Linked DNA regions of Canis lupus familiaris. The protein of the gene in region 2 binds, or shares a complex with, the protein of the main gene of each other region. Links are inferred from orthologs where the notes say so. Each region holds a gene or a part of one and is shown on either strand. Other genes may lie near its edges.

What was found.
Region 1: ARID1B (region 2) and ACTL6B share a complex: the UniProt entries of both Homo sapiens proteins name them as parts of the neuron-specific chromatin remodeling complex. The link is inferred for Canis lupus familiaris from reciprocal best matches to the Homo sapiens genes ARID1B and ACTL6B.

Annotation. Positions count from the first base shown.
Region 1 is NC_049227.1:8,991,037-8,994,854, reverse strand, and holds part of ACTL6B (actin-like protein 6B), read right to left. Parts: intron 3,066-3,818; 5' UTR 2,617-3,065; coding exon 2,592-2,616; intron 2,125-2,591; coding exon 2,048-2,124; intron 1,846-2,047; coding exon 1,680-1,845; intron 1,372-1,679; coding exon 1,271-1,371; intron 1-1,270. UniProt on the Homo sapiens protein: Involved in transcriptional activation and repression of select genes by chromatin remodeling (alteration of DNA-nucleosome topology).
Region 2 is NC_049222.1:47,279,041-47,282,858, forward strand, and holds part of ARID1B (AT-rich interactive domain-containing protein 1B), read left to right. Parts: intron 1-186; coding exon 187-970; intron 971-3,251; coding exon 3,252-3,382; intron 3,383-3,818. UniProt on the Homo sapiens protein: Involved in transcriptional activation and repression of select genes by chromatin remodeling (alteration of DNA-nucleosome topology).

The DNA.
Region 1 (3,818 bases), on a different chromosome or scaffold from region 2:
ATGAGATTCAAGAAACAGGACTTCTATTACGGGAGAGACGTGAGGGGATGCCCTAAGATGATGGTGAAGGGAGATGTCAGGATGATAGCTATGTCTTTTGTATAGAAGGCAACAAGTCCAAAGTGGAGCAATTAGTGGGTTTTTGGAGAGATTTCTTCAAAAAGACCAAATTGATAGAATATCTAATGGAGCTAATGTTTGAGAAAGGATATAGATAACATAAGCAGATAAATAATAGCAGATGAATAACTTAGGGTCATATCATTAAATAAATAGAAAGCTAAGCAAAATAAAAATCAGTGCAATTTTCAGTTCTATGTAAAGGAGCTGTGCAGGAAAGGAAAAGTGACCAGAGTATTGCCTGCCTGAGGCTTGATTACCATATATAAACACAAGAATGTAAATACTGAATAATAATTTTTTTAGAAATCTAAAATACAACTATACTTAAAGGTGAGGAATGAGGGAAGTGTGTGGTGTGGGCTGGAGGAGGAAAGAGAGCTCAATGTTTCTTTTTTTCTTTCTTTCTTTTTTTAGAGGAGAGTGTGTACAAGGAGAAGGAGGGGGAATGGGAGGGGGAGGGAGAGAATCTCAAGCAGATTCCCATGGAGCATGGAGCCCCATGCAGGGCTCAATCTCATGACCCTAAGATCACAGCCTGAGCCAAAATGAAGAGTCCCAACATTCAACTGACTGAGACACTCAGATACCCCTCAATATTTATTTTCTACAGTGGGAAATAAATCCCTAAAACTATAAAATCCACAAGCAGCATTTGAATGGGATATTTAGAGATATAGAATAATATGACAAAACTTCTCTAAATGAAAAGCAGTTGCCTCTGGAAAAGTGGAATGGAAGGAAGAGGATATGAATGGCCGTTTTTTCTTTAACATATTTTCTAAATCAAAGTGGTTATGTGCATATATAACATTGACAAAAATTTTAAGTTAAAAAGTCCAAAAGGACTTTGGTGGGGGGGGGGAGGGGGAGAAACAGCAGTGGATAAGGCTGAATGGGCAAAAGATATGAATGGATAAAACAGGAGGATGGAGAGGGATAAAGACTAAACCAGGGAGGAAAAAAAAAAGTGCTTGAAGATGGTGGAGTTGGAAGAAAAGTCTGAAAAGTTAAGTGGAGTGATCAATGGCAGATGCTTTCAGAAGGGAGAAGTGAAAAAAAAAAAAAAAAAAAAAGAAGGGAGAAGTGAATGGCAGAAAGGAGGTAGGGAGCACCTGGGGCTGGACTAGGGTTTGGGTGAGGCACTTACCGGGGCCTCAGACATGAGCACTGGATGCAGGTTGGGCTCGGACTTGACGTGTTTACTGTAGGTGTGATCCAGGATGGCGCGGAAGCATTCCCAGTCCTCAACTGGAGCCAGGAGGCCAGCGTGGAGAGATGAAGGTGGGCCGGCAGGGGTCCAGGGACAGAAAGCAAAGGAAGGAGGGATGCCAAGTCCAGGGGAGGGGAAGTGAGATCAGTTCTAGCAGAAATCCCCCCTTCCTGGGAATCTGTTGGGCCCCTGGGCTGGGAACCAGTCAGCTGTGGGAAGCTGTGAGGGAATTCCTGGGATGTGGGCAATTGCAAGATAGACTCTGTAAGTGTGGGGTGATATGTCCTGGGTTGTGGTGAGTGGGATCCTGGTCTGTGGTGGGAGACAGTGGGTGGGGGCTCCTTACTCATGCCATTCTTGAGGGGCGACATGACCTCTGCTCCATCCCGAGGCACATGCAGGGCGTTGGTGTCGATGTGGAAGATCTTCCCTTTCTTCTCTTTCTCCCCCTCCAGCTCCAGCCCGCCCCCCTCCTCCGCGGCCAGCAGCCCCACCGTGGTGGGGAAGTCAGCCTGGAGGGGGCATGGGCAGGAAGAGGGATCAACCTCTTGCCCCTATCCAGACCCATAGCAAGGCCCTCAGCCCGCCCCTGGGTTTACTCCCACATTCCCGCTCTGCAGAGCTTCTCTCTGTGTTGTGAGAACCCTGGGTCACTGGGAAGCCTGGAGGGGAGTCCGAGGCCCTAGGACTTGGGGATGGGGCTGGAAGGCTCACCTTGGGGCAGTCCTCCCCAGCGTACCCAGCGCGGACTGAGAAGGAGCCAATGTCAAAGACCAGCGCCCCCACCTCATCTGTGTGGGGAGACAGGTGTGTGAGGGGACCTCTCCCAAACTCTCTCCCCCTGGATAGCTCGGAGAGGAGGTCAAGGCAGAGCCAGTCTCGCCACCTTCAACGCTTGCCGGGGCAAGTAGGAGCTCGGCCTGAAGTCCGGGGTCCTGGGAGTGGGGATCAAGCCTCCCCAGAGTCCCTTCTTGCCCAGTGGCCTTATTCAGGCCACTCTCCTTGCCGGGAAAGAAGGGGCCAGGGGGCCGGGAGGAGGTGAGTTGGATGGTGGAGAGTGACCCCAGTGCGCGCAAACGACCGACCTGGGAGGACCAAGGTAGGAGTGGCGCAGGACCCAAACCCAGGGCTGGACCCGTTCGAGCGCCGGGGTGACAGGCCCTAGGGTGCCCAGAGCTTAGGTCGCGCGGGTTCGGGGTGCAGGGCTGCCGGTGAGGCCGCAGCAGGCTGGGTAGCCTGAAGCCCGAGGCTAGCTCACCTCCGCCGTAGACGCCCCCGCTCATAATGCCCTCTTAGCGCTGCTCACGGCCCGTGGGCGGCGACGGGATCAGCACCGAGGCGGCCGGACAGCTCCCGGGATCCCGGGCGGGGCGGGGCGCTCAGTAGCCAATCAGGAGGCCGGATCCCCCGCCCCCAATGACGCCGTGGATTGGCTGCAAGGCGAGACAATAACCGGACCCGGGGCTGCTGCTTTAAAGGGGCAGACACCGCAACTTTAAGATTGTGGGGAGGATAGCAAGGACTTCGAGATCGATTCTAACAGATAGCCAGGTAGAGAGCAGACGTACACAAGAGATGGAAACCTTGTCCATTTGGAGACCAGGACGCCTCAGGACGTCTCACGGGGCCCCTGCTCTCTTACTTTTTTTAAATGGGGTCGAGAAAAGGGCACCATAGTCCTGGAGAGTCGTCCATTCTCTGGCTCCTGATCAAGGTTCTGCCATACCCAAGTCTGAATGAAATCACCGGGCGAAGGAGGGAAAGGAAGAAGGGAAGGAGGAGAGAGGTACAGGAGGGGGCGTGTCTCCATCTTCTCCCTGTTTCTTTCTATCCTTGTCTTTCTAGTGCCCCCTTTTCCTCTCCCGTCCCCGGTGCCTGGGCCCTATACATATACACGTGTACCCGTGCTCAGCTAACCCATCTTCAGCTCCCTTTCCCCATCTATCTCTCCCCAGCTGTTTTCCTGGCCTGACACCACCTCCACAGCAATTTTAATAGCAAAGGTGAAGGAGCAGCTCCGACAGCTTGGCTTAGCTGAGCGACTCTTATGTGAGCATGTGTGTAGATGTGTGCCTATATGTATGCGTTTATGCGTGTCAGGATGTGTGCATGTGCATATGCATGTCTGTATATGCATGTGAATGTTTGTTTTGAGGGCACTCTTACCTATTTGCTGAGTGTGAGGGAAGCATTAAAACCATGGATAGCGGGTTTTGGCACACACACGAAAGAAAAGGAAAGAAAGAAAGAAAAAGAAGAGGAAAGGGAAAGGGAAAGGAAAAAAAGACCATGGATGGCACAGGAAGAGGATACCTTGTGACAACCAATGCCCCAGAAGTTTCTCTGCTCACCAGATGCCCGCTCTGAAAGAGACTAAGGTGGCTCATTGATCACCCACTGGCAAGAGTGGCATTTCACATGCCCAATGTTGTTTGGGAGTCCAGGCCTAGAACCTCAGACTGGAGGCATCCAGGCTTAAGTGGGA
Region 2 (3,818 bases):
GTGACGTGGCATTATATAATCCTAAAATGGAGTGCATAAATTGTTAGTCCTTAGTTGTTCTAGGAGCTTCCCCATATTCATTTTGAAATGAACATTCCACCAGGTAATAACTGTTTTGCATAATTTAAGTGTGTGATTATACCTGTAAAAGCACATCAGTATGATTTGTCTTTATATGGATTTCAGAATTACAAACGCCATATGGACGGCATGTATGGGCCTCCAGCCAAACGCCACGAGGGAGACATGTACAACATGCAGTATGGCAACCAACAGCAAGAGATGTATAACCAGTATGGGAGCTCTTACTCCGGACCAGACAGGAGGCCCATCCAGGGACAGTATCCATACCCCTACAACAGAGAGAGGATGCAGGGCCCCGGGCAAATACAGCCCCACGGGATCCCGCCTCAGATGATGGGTGGCCCGATGCAGTCGTCCTCCAGCGAGGGGCCTCAGCAGAGCATGTGGGCGACACGCAACGATATGCCTTATCCCTACCAGAACAGGCAAGGCCCCGGCGGCCCCGCCCAGGCACCTCCTTATCCAGGCATGAACCGCACGGATGATATGATGGTACCTGATCAAAGGATAAATCACGAGAGCCAGTGGCCTTCTCACGTCAGCCAACGTCAGCCTTATATGTCCTCTCCCGCCTCCATGCAGCCCATCACGCGCCCACCTCAGTCATCCTACCAGACGCCGCCATCACTGCCAAATCACATCTCCAGAGCCCCCAGCCCCGCCTCCTTCCAGCGCTCCCTGGAGAGCCGCATGTCTCCAAGCAAGTCTCCCTTTCTGCCATCTCTGAAGATGCAGAAGGTTCTGCCCACCGTCCCCACGCCCCAGGTCACAGGGCCGCCCCCCCAGCCACCCCCCATCAGAAGGGAGATCACCTTTCCTCCTGGCTCAGTCGAGGCGTCGCAGCCAGTCTTGAAACAAAGGCGGAAGATTACCTCAAAAGATATCGGTAAGCATTCCAGGCTTTGTCCTGAAATGAATCCCGGTTGTGATCTAGAATTTTAATTTTAGTTTAGATATAGCTCTTGTTAATCTCAAAGGGATCAAATTCTTATGACGACAAACTATCGAGACATGTTTTTGTACAGGAGCAAGAGCTGGAAGCTGCTAATCTGAGTTAAGAAACAGTGCCAAAGAGGAGCATGAATTAAAACAGTATTTTTACACATGAGTGTTATTTGTGTGAGAGAGTAGAGCTCCAAGTGAGAGACCAGGGGATCCTCATGACTATATTTTGTACTGCATTTTGAGCTCAAAGATTTGGTCTCAACCAAGCACTTAATCTCTGCAGTATGAGCTTAACGGCCAAGAGGCTAATGAAATGCTGAGGTGACCTGAAAAAATTTGAAGGTGAGCCACTCTGTCATTTTGGTAACACCATACAGACAGTGAGCTTCCCTGGGGCAAAGTAGAACCCTGCATATGATAAGTAGATAAATATATAGTATGATATACGGAATTTGATATGTTACGTGTAGAAATGACATGACCCCTATAGCACTGGTGGATAGGGGCCAAGGAGCTATTTCAGGTGGATGCTCATGTTTACTCACTCTGTTCAGGATGTTCTGAATACTAGTCAGAGATCTGGAATATCTGGGAGAACTCGGTTTTTCTGCATTATTTTTGAAGTACTTTTAATATAGCAAAGGACATTAGAGACCTTGGTTATATTAAAAAAAAGTTTTTTCAAAAACCTCGAAATCACTCGATTTGAAATCATTTACTACAGTGACTAGGAAATCAAAGCTATTAAAGGTTTTCTTCAGCCTTGGGAACTAAGGACATATACAGGCAGAGAGGGGGAGAGAAGTCAGGACTTGTAGAGAGGGCTGCTGGGGCTGAGAAGAAACACAGACAGACACTGAGCACCATTTTCTATGTTGAAATATATATGTGAGGATATGCGCGTGCGTTTGTGTGTTGATGTGTTTCTATGTGTGCGTACGTTTGAATAAATAAACATATTTAAATTTTTATAAAATTTCTTTGCACACGTAGATCAGCATTTGTCGTGAGCCTGGGGAAATTTATGTTCCTTTTTTTAAAAAGAAAGTTTGCTTTTTCTCTTACAAAAGTATTGCCTCTTAGAAAATATGGAAAGTAGATGAAATTAAAATAGAGGTGGAAACCCACAGCCCCCTCCAGCGGGTGTGATTGCTTGCCGGCGTCTGGTGTGGGCTGTTGCTCTGGTGGGTTCTCATCCCACCGGCCTGCTTACGCCATATGCTCCTGCCGATTTCCTGAGAAAGAAATTTCAGACATACGATGGGCCTCTTCTCTTAGTCCCATCTTATGGCAAATCTTGCAAATGTTTTATCTAATCCTTCTGTCTTCTTCAGGAACAGGAAGGGGGAAAAGAAAAGTAGAGCCCTTCTGTTTCCCATCCCCTGGCTCAGAGCAAGCTGTTGAAAAATCCAAGCCTTCAAAGTGCTAATAATTGTCAACAGCGTGTTCTGAGGGCAGAGGCTCAGATAGAAGAGGACAGCAAGGGAATATCAAGACTGTATATCCCAGAATGTGCTGTTTGGGAATTAAATTTTGCCTATATTCTGCGTATTTGCCAGCCTTCCAAAGATGCCACCCCAAGACATTTGTGAATGAAGCAGGCAAAAGAAGACAAATATCATTTCTTGGCTTGACTCAATTATTAACACTCAGCTGCATCATTACAGAGTCTGTTAGGGGCTAAAGGAAACAAATCAGAGATGAGGAAGGGCCGTTGTGCTTAGCCACTGCCACCTCTAGCAGCATGTTGAGCTCATGTTTAACCAACACATCCAAAGGATCATAAATGATGAAAATTTTTTAGTAAACTGTCACCTCCATTTAAAATATGGAAATGATCACGTTTCACCGTGCCTCAGAACATTTGTTTGAAATCAGTATTTAACTCAACATTCGACTTCTTTTGTTGTTGTTTTTTTTATAATTTTTAAAAAGATTTTATATATTTGAGAGGAAAAAAAAAGCATGCATGAGAGTGAGCTCACGAGCAGTGGGAGGGGTAGAGGGAGAAACCAACTCCCTGCTGAGCAGGGAGCCCAATGTGGAACTCGATCCCAGGACCCTGGGACCAATACCTGAGCCGAAGGCAGACACTTCACCAACTGAGCCACCCAGGCACCCCTACACTCAGCTTCTCTTTCCTTATTCTTCTGTTATTTTCTTCTGTCCTTTCATGCATAGAGTTAATATTAATTATGCCCTGATCTTTCCCCTGGTTTTAGTTACTCCTGAGGCTTGGCGTGTGATGATGTCCCTTAAGTCAGGTCTTCTAGCTGAAAGTACTTGGGCTCTGGACACTATTAACATTCTCCTGTACGATGACAGCACCGTCGCTACCTTCAGTCTCTCCCAGGTAAGCCAGTAACCCATCCATGGGCCCAAGTGGCTTAAGAAAGGGCTGTAGTGCACAGTGTCAGCAAATGTGAGAGGTGATTGGCGCCCCCAGCGGACGTGGCGGTCCCAGAGAATTGAGTTGGGAATAAGTCACTTCACGCTCTAGTATTAGCACACACATACTTGTTTTTATCACAAAGAAACTATCCCCTTGTGTGCACGCACATATGTGCGTGTGCATGTGCGTGTGGAATAGACTGTAGTAAAGGTGAGTTCCTTAGAATGACTGTCAGCAGGCAGGCGGGAGAGAATCCAAATATATCATCAAGCTGGGACTGGAGTCAGTATTGGGTATGCAGGAGCTTTCTCTGGGACATACCCTGCTTTCTAGGGAGACCAGGCCTCTTTCTTTTAATTAAAAAGAAATGTTATATTATAGAAAATGTAGGTTATAG